2 linked regions of the Stegostoma tigrinum genome follow. The main gene of each other region encodes a partner of the protein of the gene in region 2 in a complex. Links are inferred from orthologs where the notes say so. Each region holds a gene or a part of one and is shown on either strand. Other genes may lie near its edges.

Region 1 (7,689 bases), on a different chromosome or scaffold from region 2:
CTCTTCCCCTCCACCCACTGCATCCCAAAACCAGTCCAACCAGTCTCTGCCTCCCTAACCTGTTCTTCCTCTCACCCATCCCTTCCTCCCACCCCAAGCCGCACCTCCATCTCCTACTTACTAACCTCATCCCACCTCCTTGACCTGTCCGTCTTCCCTGGACTGACCTATCCCCTCCCTACCTCCCCACCTATACTCTCCTCCCCACCCATCTTCTTTTCTCTCCATCTTCAGTCCGCCTCCCCCTCTCTCCCTATTTATTCCAGAACCCTCACCCCATCCCCCTCTCTGATGAAGGGTCTAGGCCCGAAACGCCAGCTTTTGTACTCCTGAGATGCTGCTGGGCCTGCTGTGTTCATCCAGCCTCACATTTTATTATATTGGATTCTCCAGCATCTGCAGTTCCCATTATCACCTTTGAAATGGTGATGTGTTCAAATAGTCCTGACAGAATACCCATTGTAGGAATAGCAAGCAAATAGGTATGATAAACAAAAGTACAAAGGCAATGTAGGCAAATGACTCCTGTTTAAATTTTATCAGGGTGCATGTGAAATTATGTCTCCATCATATGTTCAAAATTATAATGTGTGAAACTGATCTGGTTGACAAAGAGTGTTTTCAGGATAGTGGAAAATGATAAACATTAAGTTTTCCATTATTATCCCACAGCCACTGCCTCCAATGCCCCATCACCACATCTGTATGTGCCCACAACCATACTTGCTCTCGGAATATGCCACTTGAAAGTCCACCTTTTGTGGTAGCTACTAATGACAGATGAATGGTACAGAAATTAACCTGGGTTTGAGATGTAGTGATAGCAAAATTGCTGGCTGGGTTTCTCTCTACCTGGGTAACTGCATAAGATTCAACACTGCATTATAAGATGGACAAACTTGTTGAGATGTGATTGCATGGGAGAGGATATGGAGGAGATTTACCAGGATATTGTTCAGGCTGGAGAGTTTCAGTTAGGAAGAGAGATGGGATAGACTGGGATTGTTTTCCATGGAGCCAAGGAGACTGAGGGGGTGGGGTAACATATTGAGATGTGTAAATTAATGAGGGGCATAGACAGAGAAAAGCTTCCCTCATTGATAGAGGGATCAATGACTGAGGGGATGATTTTAAGGTAATGGGCAATAGGTTTATAGAAGATGTGAGGAAACCTTTTCGCTCAGATGTTGGTGGAAATCTGGAATTCATTGCCCAAAAAAGGGTGGTAGAGGCAGAGATCCTCATAGCGTTTTAGACATATTTAGATGTATAGTTGTGATGACAAGGTGTACAAGGCTATGGGCCAAATGCTGGAAAAGGGGATTATAACAGTGTCTACATCAGTCAAAAACAACAATGAGCTGAAGGGCCTTTTCTGTGCTGTAGACCTCTATGACTCAATGGGAGGAGGAAAGTAAGAGAGGAAATTGCAGAGGGTCTGGTTACAACCTTGTTTACAATTAATCTTTGATACAGAATCTTTGTTCCACTTCAAGCTGTGTGCCATCCTGGCTTAGAATTCTATTGCAGTTCCTTTGTTTGTTGGGTCAAAATCTTGGAACTACCTCCTGTATGGCAATGTGGATGTAGTAACACACTAAGGATGCAATGTTTGAAGAAGGCAGCTCACCACTGCCACCACTTAGGCAATTGATGATGGGCAGTAAATGTAGGCCCAACTGGTGACACCAATATCCCATAAATAAATTGAAATAACTGAAAAGAAATTCAATGCGCTGCATAACTTAAGTGGCTTCTCAAATACTCTATGCAACTGCCTGAGATTAATTTCTAACCAAAAGAGCACAAAAACGAAGATGTTACCGCAAGCCTGTTTACAATAGGTTACCTGATAGCTAACTGTAGCCACTTCTGTGCATTAGGCCTTGGGAAGGATGGTGGGTCTTAGAAGACACAGTGAGGATTTACTGGAATGCTATTGGGATCAGTAGGTCAGTTATGCAAAACATCAAAGAGCCCTGGAGGAGTTGTTCTTACAGCAGATTGTTCAATATTAACAAAAGTTTAGAAACTGCAAATGATAACAAGGCTATAGATTTGTAAATGACAAAAGAATTAAAGGTAATATGTAGGTGGGGTGGGAGAGGAAATCATGCAGCAAAATTGTTGCCACCTGGATTTTTCAGTCTTAGTGGACGTTTAATGCATCATGCCCACGCCAATCATCAAACAACTAGCCTCATCCCATTTTCGAGCACTTAGCTCATAGCCATGCATGCTACATTTCAAGTGCTCATTTTGATACTTTTTAAATGTTCCGGCCTCCATCACCTTTTTTTAGCCAATTAGTTACACACAAGCACAATCCTCTGACCCTCAAATCTCCTCCTAGATGTCGTGCTTCTTACTACTTAATCAAACAAGAGCCCATGGTTTTGGAGATGGTGTATTAGCATGGATAGAAGATTGGCTAACTAATAAAGTATAGAGTTGGGATAAGGGGGGTCATTTTCAGGGTGGTAACCTGTATTGAGTGGAATACCACAGGAATCAGTGCTGAGGTCACAAGCTGTGAGGATGACTCAAAGAGTTTGCAGAGAGATATAGACAAGTTAAGTGAATGGGCAAAAACTTGCCAGACAGATGGAATATGTTGTTGCAAAATGTGAGGTTCTGCACTCTGGCAAGTGTATTCAAATAGAGAATGACTATAGAAAGTTACATCATAGAGAGATTTGGGGGCTTAAGTTTTAAAAAGCTAGCATCCAAGTTCAGCAGGGGATTGGGAAGGCAAATAGAATGTTGCCCTTTATTTCAAAGGAATGAGTGTAAAGCTAGTGAGGTCTTGCTAAAGCTCTACAAGGTACTAATTAGAATACAACTGGAATACTGTGAACAATTTTGATCCCTAACCTAAGGAAGATAAACTAGCATTGGAGACAGTGCAGAGAAGACTTAGAATGTTGATCCCAGATATGCAGGATTGTCTTTTGGGGCAGGTTGAGTTGGTTGGGCCAGTATACATTGGAAATTAGTAGAATGAGAGAAGATCTTATTGAACAGAATGTCTGGGACCAGAGGGCATAATTTCAGGATTAAGAAGTCACCCTTCTAAAACAGATGAAGAAGAATTTCTTACGAGGATAGTGAATTTGTGGAATTCTTTACCACGGACAACTATAGAGGTTGGGTCATTAACAATATTTAAGACTAAGATTTGTAATCAATAAAGGAATCACGTGATATGAGGAAAAGGCAGGAAACTGAAGTTGAGGATTATCAGATCAGCCATGATCTCATTTGAATAGTGGACCAGACTCTGTGGGCTGTTTGGTCTCCTTCTGTCTTTATGGCCTATGATCTTAAAACTATGGTCCTTGGTTAAGGGGAGACGTGTCTCTCTCACTCTCTTTCTCTTCCCTCTATCCTATTTATACTCCTCAATACTTTGAACAGCTAAATCAGGTCAGAAATCACATGACATTGGGTTATAGTCCAACAGGTTTATTTGAAAACACAAGCTTTCAGCGCCGTTCTGTACCTTCAGACCTAACCTTATCTACCTTCTGTCTTCAAGGATCTATGGACGTGCACACCAATATCTGTCTGATCCTCTGTCCATGGGCTCTTAGCTTCTTCTTAACCCATCTGCCATACCAAATTGCATAGATTGCAGGTTCAGTAAAAAAAAGCTTTTTAAAAAGGGAATTAGAGCTGAAATTGAAGTTGTAACTAAAACGGAAAGCTTTGCTGCACTATATAACAAGAGATAGGAGTGGGGAAAAATGGATAGTTCTTTCAAAAAGAGACACAGGGAAGATGGCGCTCATAGTTACCTTTTGTGTCATACAGGAGAGTGCTCTCAATCATTGGACAGAAACCAGAATTCCCTACTGACTCAGAGATAGTAGGAATTTCTGATGCTGGAGGCTGAGATAATAAGATGTGGAGCTGGAGAAATACAGCAGGCCAGGCAGCATCAGAGGAGCAGGAAAGCTGACGTTTCGAGTCTGGACCCTTCTCCAGAAATGCAGGAGGGGAGGGGACTCTAAAATAAATAGAGAGGGGGGGGCGGTGATAGAAGGTGGATAGTGGGGCAGATAGGTGGGAGAGAAGATGGACAAGTCAAGGATGTGGAATGAAGCTAGTAAAGGAGAGTGGAGGGAGGAAGTTGGGATGGGGGTTGGTCACTGAAGGGGGGGGCGGATACTTAGGAGGGAAGACTGACAGGTCAAGGAGACCGGGATGAGGAGGGGGCTGGTCTTGGGATGAGGTTGGGGTGGGGAGATTTTGAAGCTCGTAAAGTCCACATTGAGACCATTGGGTTATAGGGTCCTAAGGTGGAATATGAGGTGCTGTTCCTCCAGTTTCCGGGTGGCATCATTGTGACACTAGGAGAGGCCCAGGATGGATATGTTGTCCGGGAAGTGAAAGAGGGAGTTGAAGTGGTTCCGGACAGGGAGGTGTTGTTTGTCGCGAATCAAACGTAAGTGCTGAACAAAGTAGACTCCGAGCCTCTGCTTGGTTTCTCAGATGTAGGGGAGGCCACATCGGGAACAGTGGTTACAATAAATCATGTTAGCAGACGTGCTCGTGAAGATCTGTTTAATGTGGAAAGTTTTCTTGGGACCTGGGATGGACGTGATGAGGGAGGTGTAGGAGTGGGTGTAGTACTTCCTGTGGTTGCAGGGATTGGTGCCGGGGGTGGTGGGGTTAGCGGGGAGTGTGGAGCGGATGAGGGAGTCGCAGAGAGCGCAGTCCGTCTGGAAGGTAGATAAGGCTGGGGCGGGAAATATATCCTTGGTCGTGGGGTCAAATTGCAGGTGGTGGACGTGGTGGAGAATGATGCGTTGAATCCAGAGGTTAATGGGGCGATACATGAGGACAAGGGGAATTCTGTCTTAGTTTTTATCGCGGGGAGGGGGAGTGAAGGCTGAGGTGCGGGAAACGCAAGAGATGCGGTCGAGGGCTTTTTCAACCACTGGGGGGAAATTGTGGTCCTTGAAAAATGAGGATATCTGGGATGTCTCATTTTGGGGGCAGATGCAGTGTAGTTGGAGGAATTAGGAATAGGGGATCGCATTCTTGCAGGAAGATGGGTGAGAGGAGGTGTAGTCTAGGAAGCTGTGGGAGTCCAGTGTCACAATGATGCCACCCAGAAACAGAAGGAACAGCACCTCATATTCTGCCTTGGGACCCTACAACTCAATGGTCTCAATGTTGACTTTACTAGCTTCAAAATCTCACTACCCCCAACCTCATCCAAAGACCAGACCCCCTCATCCCCACCTCTTTGACCTGTCCATCTCCCATCTATCTGCTCCTCTATCCATCTTCTATCACCACTCCCCCTTATTTATTTCAGAGCCCTCTTGCCCTCCCCCATTTCTGAAGGGTCCAGACCCAACACATCAGCCTTCCTGCTCCTCTGATGTTGCTTGGCCTGCTGTGTTCCTCCAGCTCTACACCTTGTTATCCCCCACTGACTGACGATCAATTGGGCTGAAATCAATTCGCCTCCTACATCAGGGATCAAGCTGGGAATTTCTAAGTTTGATGGGTCACTGTCACAGTTTCACTTACACAAGGATTTCTGCAGTGCACCAGAGTTCGAAGTGATTATGTTGTTGTGCTGGACTGAGAGAGTGTGAATGTTAAACGGCCCGCTTTCGTTAGGGAGAGATCCCAGGGCCTTCGTTTAGTTTTAAACTCGAGAAGGTTCTACTGGACCTGGGCAACTCCTGCCAAATGACTGAGCATAGGAGGGCTCACGATTTTGGTTGATGCTTTTCTTTAATGTCTTTCTGAAGCCTCGCAACGTTTTTATCAGATTTAATACTGTCTCAAAAGCAATCATAATTGATGAGAATGGAAAAATTTGATCTTATACACCCCTGAATGGGATACGGAACTCACCGAATAATTTTATATTTATTCTGGCAGAAGCTTTACCCAAATACTTGGAATAAACTAATTATAGTTTCTGTAATTTAGTTTCGTTATTTAGTTAGTCTAGTTCGTTAATGTCAACAGTGATCAAAAGCCATGTTTCTAACAATTAGCAAGAAGGTGATACTTCGGTGAAAACGTTAGTGAGTTATACTGCCCCCGGCGGACTGTTCGTGTTCACTGTGCTACATTTACCTCTCTCGATGCTGACACACTGGAGATGTACAGCTGGACTCCGGACATACCTCCTCCCAGCGTTAAACAAGCCAACTGTTCTTCACTAAACCCCGACCTCACCAACTTCGGCTCTGCCCGTTACACAAGCTGCCTCACCGTCAGAATTTGCGAGGTTCTACCGAAGAGAATGTGCTTTAAGGACAGACTATATTGCCCATACATACGATTGTTTTTTTAAAAAAACTTACTTTTGGAAAACGGCTACCAATATCACAGATTGTTTGAATTGAGCACAACTTTATTTTTAAATCATTTTATGAAACACACCTAAAAGTCAAATGTGTGAATCGGAATAATATGGCAGTTGATAATTCTAAAAATTGCGCATTACGTATGGAATTTTACAGAGGCTGAGAGATGTAATTTGGATATCAAAAGTACACTTGGGGGGGAAGGAACACAGCGAATGAATACTCAATGAATGGCAGAAGAGCAGGAAGCTCAGGTAGACAGAAGGATCTTGGGATACTTGTCCACAGATCCCTGAAGTTGGCAGGGCATGTTAATGGGGTGGTTGAGAGAGCATACCAGACTCTTACCTTTACCAGTAGAGGCAACTATAGTAAGAGCAAGGAGGTCATGTTGGAGCAGTATAGAACTTTGGCTAGGTCACAGACTGAAGAACTGTGTGCACTTCTAATCACCAGGATAGGTAGGATATGACTGAGGGAGAATTTTAGCTTCCAAGAGAGACTGTTTTAAAGTGGAAAAAAAGAAGCTTTTTTTAAAAGTGAAAGGCACGAGATTTAGACGGGAATTGAGGAAAATAGTTTTAACCCGGAGAGTTGTGGGGCTCTGGAAGGCATTTCCTGGGAGGGTAGTTGAGACAGGAAACCTCAATCTTTAAAAATGCTTGGATAAGCATTTGAAGTGTCATAACATTTAAGGTTATGGGCCTTGCACAGGAAAGTGGGATTAGTGTAGATAATAGTGTTTATCTGACGGTACAGCCTTGATGGGCTGATGGGTCTCTTCTGCATGGTTTGATTCTGCACAGTTTCATGAATAGAGATGGTCCTCTGGCTCCTTGCCTTTCTGTCATAGTCATGTAACAAAGTGTGGAGCTGGATGAACACTGCAGGCCAAGCAGCATCTCAGGAGCACAAAAGCTGCTTGGCCTCCTGTGTTCATCCAGCTCCACACTTTGTTATCTTGGATTCTCCAGCATCTGCAGTTCCCATTATCACTGTCATAGTCATGTACCAGCTTTTGAAGCTGAAGTTTGAGGTTTTGCTCTGGATTTTGTGCATGTGATATTTAAATACCTCACAGATAGAGAACACCACAATCAGAGGGTGTCATTCTACAGTGAAGATATTATACTGAAGCACCAGCTGTCTGTTGTGTGCATGCAGAACGATCACCTGCTTCACCCCCCCCAAACAAAAACGGTTGCTTAATGAGCAAGATTTCTGGAGTCCTGACCAGCATTCTTTCTTCAACAACTTTGATTGAACCAGATAAACTAATCTTTTATCTCTTCACTCTTCAGGTCAGGAGCAAAATGGGCCTTTACAAATTGTCAATGAGTTTCATCTTCCA
Region 2 (7,909 bases):
GGTAAAAGAGGGGGAGGTGTGACTTTGTTAGTCAAGGGTGGTGTAACGGTGGCCGAAAGAACTTTTGATGAGGACTCATCTACTGAGGTGGTATGGGCTGAGGTCAGAAACAGGAGAGGAGAGGTAACACTGCTGGGATTTTTTTATAGGCCTCCGCAAAGTTCCAGGGATGTGGAGGAGAGGATCGGCAAAGCTATTCTGGGCAGGAGTGAAAGGAACAGGGTGGTCATTATGGGAGACTTTAACTTCCCTAACATTGACTGGAAATGCGATAACTCGAGTACTTCGGATGGATCAGTTTTTGTCCAATGTGTGCAGGAGGGTTTCCTGACACGGTATGTCGCAGGGCCGACAAGAGGGGAGGCCACATTGGATCTGGTGCTTGGTAATGAACCAGGCCAGGTGTTTGATTTAGTGGTAGGTGAGCACTTTGGAGAGAGTGACCATAATTCGGTTGTGTACTTTAGCAATGGAAAGGGATAGGAACATGCCACAGGGCAACAGTTATAGATAGGGGAAGGGCAATTATAATGCGATTAGGCAAGACTTAGGAGGCATAGAATGGGGTAGCAAAATGCAGGGAATGGGGAAAATCAAAATGTGGAGCTGGTTTAAGGAGCAGATATTGCGTGTCCTTGATGGGTATGTCCCTGTCAGGCAGGGAGGAAGTGATAAGGTAAGGAAGCCGAGATTTACTAAAGAAATTGTGTCTCTTGTTAAGCGGAAGAGGGAGGCTTATGTGACAATGAGACAAGATGGTTCAGATGAGGCAATGGCGAGTTACATATTAGCTAGGAAGGATTTAAAGAGACAGTTAAGTAGAGCAAGGAGGGGACATGAGCAGACATTAGCGAGTAGAATAAAGGAGAACCCTAAAGCTTTCTATAGGTATGTGAGGAATAAGAGGATGACTTGGGTAGCAATAGGGCCAGTCAAAGACAGAAGTGGGAAGTTGTGTGTGGACCCTGTGGAGATCGGAGAGGCGCTAAACGATATTTCTCATCTGTTTTCACTGAGGAACAGGAGAATATTGTAGAGGAGAAGACTGAGTTACGGGCTACTAGAATTGAAAGGATTGAGGTTAGTCAGGAGGAGGTGTTATCAATTCTAGAAGGTGTGAAGGTAGATAAATACCCTAGGCCCAATGGGATTTTTTCCGAGGATTCTTTGGGAAGCCAGGGAGGAGGTGGCGGAGCCTTTGGCTTTGTTCTTTGAGTCCTCATTGTCTACAGGTTTAGTACCAGAGGACTGGAGGATTGCAAATGTTGTGCCCTTGTTCAAGAAGGGCAGTAGGGATGACCCAGGTAATTATAGACCTGTGAGCCTTACGTCTGTTATAGGAAAAATTGTGGAAAGGATTATAAGAGCTAGGATTTATAATCATCTAGCAAGCAACAATTTGATTGGAGATTGTCAACATGGATTCGCCAAGGGCAGGTCGTGTCTCACAAACCTCCGTGACTTTTTTGAGACAGTGACCAAGCATGTGGATGAGGGAAGGGCAGTTGACGTGGTGTAAATGGAATTCAGTAAAGCCTTTGATAAGGTTCTACATGGTAGGCTATTGGAGAAAATACAGAGGCATGGGATTGAGGGAGAGTTAGCAGTGTGGATTAGAAACTGGTTTTCTATAAGAAGGCAACGAGTGGTGGTTGCTGGAAAATATTCAGCCTGGTGTCCGGTTACTAGTGGTGTGCCTCAAGGATCTGTTTTGGGACCACTGCTGTTTGTCATTTCTGTAAATGACTTGGACGCAGGCATATGTGGATGGGTTAGTAAGTTTGCAGATGACACTGAAGTCAGTGGAGTGGTGGACAGTGTGGAAGAATGTTTCAGATTGCAGGGAGACTTGGATAAACTGCAGAATTGGGCTGAAAGGTGGCAAATGGCATTCAATGCTGATAAATGTGAGGTGATTCACTTTGTGAAGAATAATAGGAAGGCAGAATACTGGGTCAATGGAAAGATTCTTGGTAGTGTGGATGTGCAGAGGGATCTTGATGTCCATGTACATAGATCCCTGAAAGTTGCCACCCAGGTTGATAGTGCTGTTAAGAAGGCTTACGGTGTTTTAGGTTTTATTGGTAGAGGGATTGAGTTCTGGAGCTGTGATGTCGTGCTGCAACTGTACACAGTGCTAGCGCGGCCTCACTTAGAAAATTGCGTACAGTTCGGGTTGCTCCATTACAGGAAGGATGTGGAAGCATTGGAAAAGGTGCAGAGGAGATTTACCTGGATGTTGCCTGGTTTGGAACGAAGGCCTTATGAAGAAAGGCTGAGGGACTTGGGTCTGTTCTCATTGAAGAGAAGGAGGCTAAGAGGGGATTTAATAGGGACATACAAGATGATCAGGGAATTAAATAGGATGGACATTGAGAGTCTTTTTCCAAGGATGATGACGTCAGCTTGTACAAGGGGGCATAGCTACAAATTGAGGGGTGATAGATTTAAGACAGATATCAGAGGCAGGTTCTTTACTCAGAGAGTGGTAAGGGTGTGGAACGCCCTGCCTGCCAATGTAGTGAACTCAGCCACATTAGGGGCATTTTAAACAGTCCTTAGATAAGCATATGGATGATGATGGAATTGTGTAGGGGGAGGTGCTTAGATTAGCTCACAGGTCGGCGCAACATCGAGGGCCGAAGGGCCTGTTCTGCACTGTATTGTTCTATGTTCTATGTCCCACACCCTCATTGCCGAAGTTGATGGCCTCACCAACATTGGTGGAGCTACATGAGTGGACACTTCCTTGCAGTTGGTGGCTTGTGATCTTGCACATTCAGCAATTGAATCATTGTGCTCAGACGCCAGATGCCGCGATGGAGCGAGAGACGTGGCAGAGGGCCCCAGACTTTCAACGTCTCCAACTGTAAAGGTGAGGCCAACAACGTAACCTCCTCACCTGCATCATAGAATCCCTACAGTGTGGAAACAGGCCCTTCAGCCCAACAAGCCCACACTGGCCCTCAGACCCATCCCTCATAACCCACATAACCTACACATCCCTGAACACTGTGGTAATTTAGCATGGCCAATCCACCCTAACCTGTACATCTTTGGACTGTGGGAGGAAACCGGAGCACCCAGAGGAAACACACAGACACGAGGAGAATGTGCAAACTCCACACAGACAGTCGCACGACGGTGGAATTGAACCCGGGTCCCTGGCGCTGTGAGGCAGCAGTGCTAACCACTGAGCCACCGTGTTAGCTCCTAAAGTTCGTTGAGGGGGCACCCAAATCTTTCAATGTCAATGGAAAATGGTTAAAGTCTGTCTTGTTTGAGATGGTCATTGCCTCACACTTCTATCATGCAAATATTACTGGCCACTTGTCAGCTCAAACCTGGATATTGTCCACATTTTTCTGTGCTTGCACATGGACTACTTCAGTATTTGAGAAGTGGCAAATGGCGCTGAACACTGTGCAATTATCGGCAAGCATTCCCATTTCTGACTGCATGATGCAGGGAATGTCATTGATGAAACAGCTGAAGATGGTTGGATAAACACAGCAGGCCAGGCAGCATCACAGGAGCAGGAAAGCTGACGTTTCAGGTCTGGACCCTTCTGTCACTTAAGATGGTTTGACCTAGAACACTTACCTGATGAACTGTTGCAGAGATGCCTGGAGCTAGTATGATTCATCTCCAACACACAACCACTTCCCATGTGCCAGGTTATGGCTCCAACCAGTGCAGAGTTTTCTACCTTGTGCATCTTAATGCTACATTCGGTCATGTCAAAGGTCATTATCGCAAAGTGCATGTGATGCCAATTAAAGACATTCAGAACTCAGAATAAGCAGAACGTTCGTAACATCAGCAAACTCGCCAAACAGCGTGGCAACAGAGATGGGTGTGAGTTTTCACTGCTGATAAATGTAAACCAATAGCACAGAAATATAGCATTCCTTTTTGAGGATGCAAGGGCTAAGTGAAAGAGAATTACTTGGTAGTGGGAGCTAATGGACCATGGTTGAATTTTGCTGAGTGTGGGAATTCTCTGTTAAGTCATGGATAAATTATGGGCCTGAAATTTAGCAGAACTTCAGTTGTTCCACCAAAGAACTGGAACAACTGAATGGGCTGAATAGGGTAGCACAGGAGTCACTTGCTGCCTCACGGTACCAGGGAGCGAGGGATGAGCCTGGTCCAGCATTCAAGGCAATCAAGACCCATAGTCTAACGCAGTGTCACATCATCGATTCTCCCCTTACATCTTGATTCTCCTTTGAATCCTAATATCTTTCTTGAATATATTCAGTAATCGCCTTGTTGGGAGTGGGTGGGGTGAGTGACAGTGAAAAGTGAGGGAAATGAACTGGGCTCCATTTAGGGGCTCTCAGCAACCCTAGCAGGTGGAGGGGAGGAGATTGGCTTCGCTGAGGTAAAAGAAGAGCACATCACCGAGTGCTGGTGCTGGTTAGGGCACGTTGTACTCGAAGATACAGATGATGGGGTGAACCCACTCTGTGTCTGGGCAACAGCAAGGATATTAGGCGCCTCTGTTCTCAAAGGTGATATGCCAGCATCAAAGATGGCGGACAAAAAGACGACCAACGGGAGTGCCAGCATCGATGGCGTTGACGGCACCAAAAATCAGCCAGCATCAAAGATGGTGATCACGATGTCAAGAAACCCGCCAATATTAAAGATGGCGCCCGCCGAGACCAAATCCGCCAGTGTCAAAGATGGCGGACGTGACCTCAACCACCGCCAATTCCTTGACCCCCTGTCAGCTTTCGAACAGCTTAAAAATAAACCAGTTAATTTTATATCGGAAGTACGCTTGCGCTGAACCTGTCATTTTAACTTGAATAGCCCCCGATGGGGAAAAAAGCGTACATACTTCCGGCGGACGCCAGGTGGTTTCCATGGAGACGGCCGCTCACTTCCGGCCCGGGCCCTCCCCGCCCCCACCGGCTGCCAGCAGCCCGGACTCTGACTCTGTCTCTGGATGAGGGCGGACCTGGAGCCGGTGGAGGCCGCTGCCTCTGGCCGCAGGGCCTCGGACAACCGGACCCGGTCCCGGTCCCGACCTCGGCCTGGCCGCTGGAAGAAGGTCCTGTACGAGAGGCAGCCTTTCCCCGATAACTTCGTCGACAGCAGCTTCCTGGAGGAACTGCGGAAAAATAGTGAGTGGGAGCGGGGTGGGGGAGGGGGAGGAGGGTGAGGGGGATCGGAGTGGGAAGGGGAGGGGGGGATCGGAGTGGGAAGGGGAGGGGGGGATCGGAGAGGGAAGGGGAGGGGGGGGTCGGAGTGGGAAGGGGAGGGGGGGGTCGGAGTGGGAAGGGGAGGGGGGGTCGGAGGGGGAAGGGGAGGGGGGGGTCGGAGGGGGAAGGGGAGGGGGGGTCGGAGGGGGAAGGGGAGGGGGGGGTCGGAGGGGGAAGGGGAGGGGGGGGTCGGAGGGGGAAGGGGAGGGGGGGGTCGGAGGGGGAAGGGGAGGGGGGGGTCGGAGGGGGAAGGGGAGGGGGGGGTCGGAGTGGGAAGGGGAGGGGGGGTCGGAGGGGGAAGGGGAGGGGGGGGTCGGAGGGGGAAGGGGAGGGGGGGGTCGGAGGGGGAAGGGGAGGGGGGGGTCGGAGGGGGAAGGGGAGGGGGGGGTCGGAGGGGGAAGGGGAGGGGGGGGTCGGGGGGGGAAGGGGAGGTGGGGGTCGGGGGGGGTCGGAGGGGGAAGGGGAGGGGGGGGTCGGAGGGGGAAGGGGAGGTGGGGGTCGGAGGGGGAAGGGGAGGGGGGGGTCGGAGGGGGAAGGGGAGGGGGGGGTCGGAGGGGGAAGGGGAGGGGGGGGTCGGAGGGGGAAGGGGGGGTCGGAGGGGGAAGGGGAGGGGGGGATCGGAGGGGGAAGGGGAGGGGGGGGTCGGAGGGGAGGGGGGGATCGGTGTGGGAAGTGGATGGGGCATCGGAGGGGGAAGGGGAGGGGGGGATCGGTGGGGGAAGTGGATGGGGCATCGGAGGGGGAAGTGGATGGGGCATCGGAGTGGGAGGGACGGGGGGATCTGAGGGGGAGGAGTATCGGAGGGGGAAGGGGAGGGGGGGGTCGGAGGGGGAAGGGGAGGGGGGGGTCGGAGGGGGAAGGGGAGGGGGGGGTCGGAGGGGGAAGGGGAGGGGGGGTCGGAGGGGGAAGGGGAGGGGGGTGTCGGAGGGGGAAGGGGAGGGGGGTGATCGGAGGGGGAAGGGGAGGGGGGTGTCGGAGAGGGAAGGGGAGGGGGGTGATCGGAGGGGGAAGGGGAGGGGGGGATCGGAGGGGGAAGGGGAGGGGGGGGATCGGTGTGGGAAGTGGATGGGGCATCGGAGGGGGAAGGGGAGGGGGGGATCGGTGGGGGAAGTGGATGGGGCATCGGAGGGGGAAGTGGATGGGGCATCGGAGTGGGAGGGACGGGGGGATCTGAGGGGGAGGAGTATCGTAGGGGAAGCGGAGGGAGGATTGGTGAGGGAGGGGGTAGGGTCGGAGGGGGAAGGGGAGGGGGGATCGGTGGGGGAAGGGGAGGGAGGGGATAGGATCAGAGGGGAAAGTGGAGGGGGCATCGGAGTGGGAGGGACAGGGGGGATCTGAGGGGGAGGGGGGGTTCGGAGGGGGAGGGGGGATCGGTGAGGGAGGGGGAGGGGGAGGGGGGATCGGTGAGGGAGGGGGAGGGGGAGGGGGGATCGGTGAGGGAGGGGGAGGGGGATCGGTGAGGGAGGTGTTAGGATCAGAGGGGGAAGTGGAGGGGGATCGGAGTGGGAGGGACAGGGGTGATCTGAGGAGGAGGGGGGTTCGGAGGGGGAGGGGTATCGGTGAGGGAGGGAGCGGGGGGTTTGGTGAGGGGGAAATGGAGGCGGGATCGGAGGGGGTAGGGGAGATCGGTTAGGGAGGGGGAGGGGGATCGGTGAGGGAGGGGGAAGGGGAGGGGGTTCGGTGAATGAGGGGGAAGGGGAGGGGAATCTAAGAATAATGATGACTATGAATCCATTGTCGATTGTCAGAAGAACCCATCTGGTTCACTAATGTCCTACAGGGAAGGAAACTGCCATCTTTACTTTGTCTGGCCTACATGTGACTTCAGATCCACAGCAATGTGGTTGGCTCATAACTGCCCCCTGGGTAATTAGGGATGGGAAATCAATGCTTCCTGGCCAGCAATACCCTCACCCCCATGAATGAATAAAGAAAAAAGAATAGAATGGGACTTCCAGTGACCATAATTCTATTCATTTTAGAATAGTGATGGAAATGGATAGACCACATAAGCGTTAAAGTTCTAAATTGGAGAAAGGCCAATTTTGACGGTATTAGGTAAGTGCAGATAATGATCAGCCTAGGAGGACGAATAGTTATCAATGATGGGTTGTTTGTAATAGTAGCCCATGTGATAACAAGGCCTCATGTCCAGGGCTTGTGGTAAGGACGGAGGAGAAGGTGCCTCAAGTCCTAAAATAGTTGAACTCAATATTGAGTCCAGAAGGCTGTAGAACAGAGTATAGGAGTTGACGTTATTTCGGGCTAAGTTAGATAGAGTTTAGATTCACAAGAGGTGAGGACTGGGAGGAAGGTGGAAAGGGTAGCATTGTGGACAGGAAAGTGGAGTTAGATCACAATCAGAGCAGCCCTGATCTTGTAGAACATAGAACATAACAGCGCAGTACAGGTCCATCGTCCCTCGATGTTGCACCGACCTGTGAAACCGATCAGAAGCCCATCTAACCTACAGTATTCCATTATAATCCATATGTTTATCCAATGACCATTTAAATGCCCTTAAAGTTGGCGAGTCTACTACGGTTGCAGGCTGGGCATTCCACGCCCTTACTACTCTGAGTAAAGAATGACTTAGGAAACTCAAAAGGGTGAATGTACTACTCTTGGCCCAAAGTCCCATGTTCCTATGATTTTGTCACCATAAGTTCTGTTTTCTGTTCTAGTTTATGTGCGCC

What was found.
Region 1: pigc (region 2) and pigp share a complex: the UniProt entries of both Homo sapiens proteins name them as parts of the glycosylphosphatidylinositol-N-acetylglucosaminyltransferase (GPI-GnT) complex. The link is inferred for Stegostoma tigrinum from reciprocal best matches to the Homo sapiens genes PIGC and PIGP.

What each region holds. Positions count from the first base shown.
Region 1 is NC_081365.1:19,225,252-19,232,940, forward strand, and holds the start of pigp (phosphatidylinositol N-acetylglucosaminyltransferase subunit P), read left to right. Parts: upstream 1-4,686; 5' UTR 4,687-4,731; intron 4,732-6,105; coding exon of another isoform or gene 6,106-6,153; intron 6,154-7,639; exon of another isoform or gene 7,640-7,689. Other genes in the region: SH3 domain-binding glutamic acid-rich-like protein 3, read right to left, coding at 6,106-6,153. UniProt on the Homo sapiens protein: Part of the glycosylphosphatidylinositol-N-acetylglucosaminyltransferase (GPI-GnT) complex that catalyzes the transfer of N-acetylglucosamine from UDP-N-acetylglucosamine to phosphatidylinositol and participates in the first step of GPI biosynthesis.
Region 2 is NC_081387.1:9,166,625-9,174,533, reverse strand, and holds the start of pigc (phosphatidylinositol N-acetylglucosaminyltransferase subunit C), read left to right. Parts: upstream 1-4,907; 5' UTR 4,908-4,957; coding exon 4,958-5,135; intron 5,136-7,897; coding exon 7,898-7,909. UniProt on the Homo sapiens protein: Part of the glycosylphosphatidylinositol-N-acetylglucosaminyltransferase (GPI-GnT) complex that catalyzes the transfer of N-acetylglucosamine from UDP-N-acetylglucosamine to phosphatidylinositol and participates in the first step of GPI biosynthesis.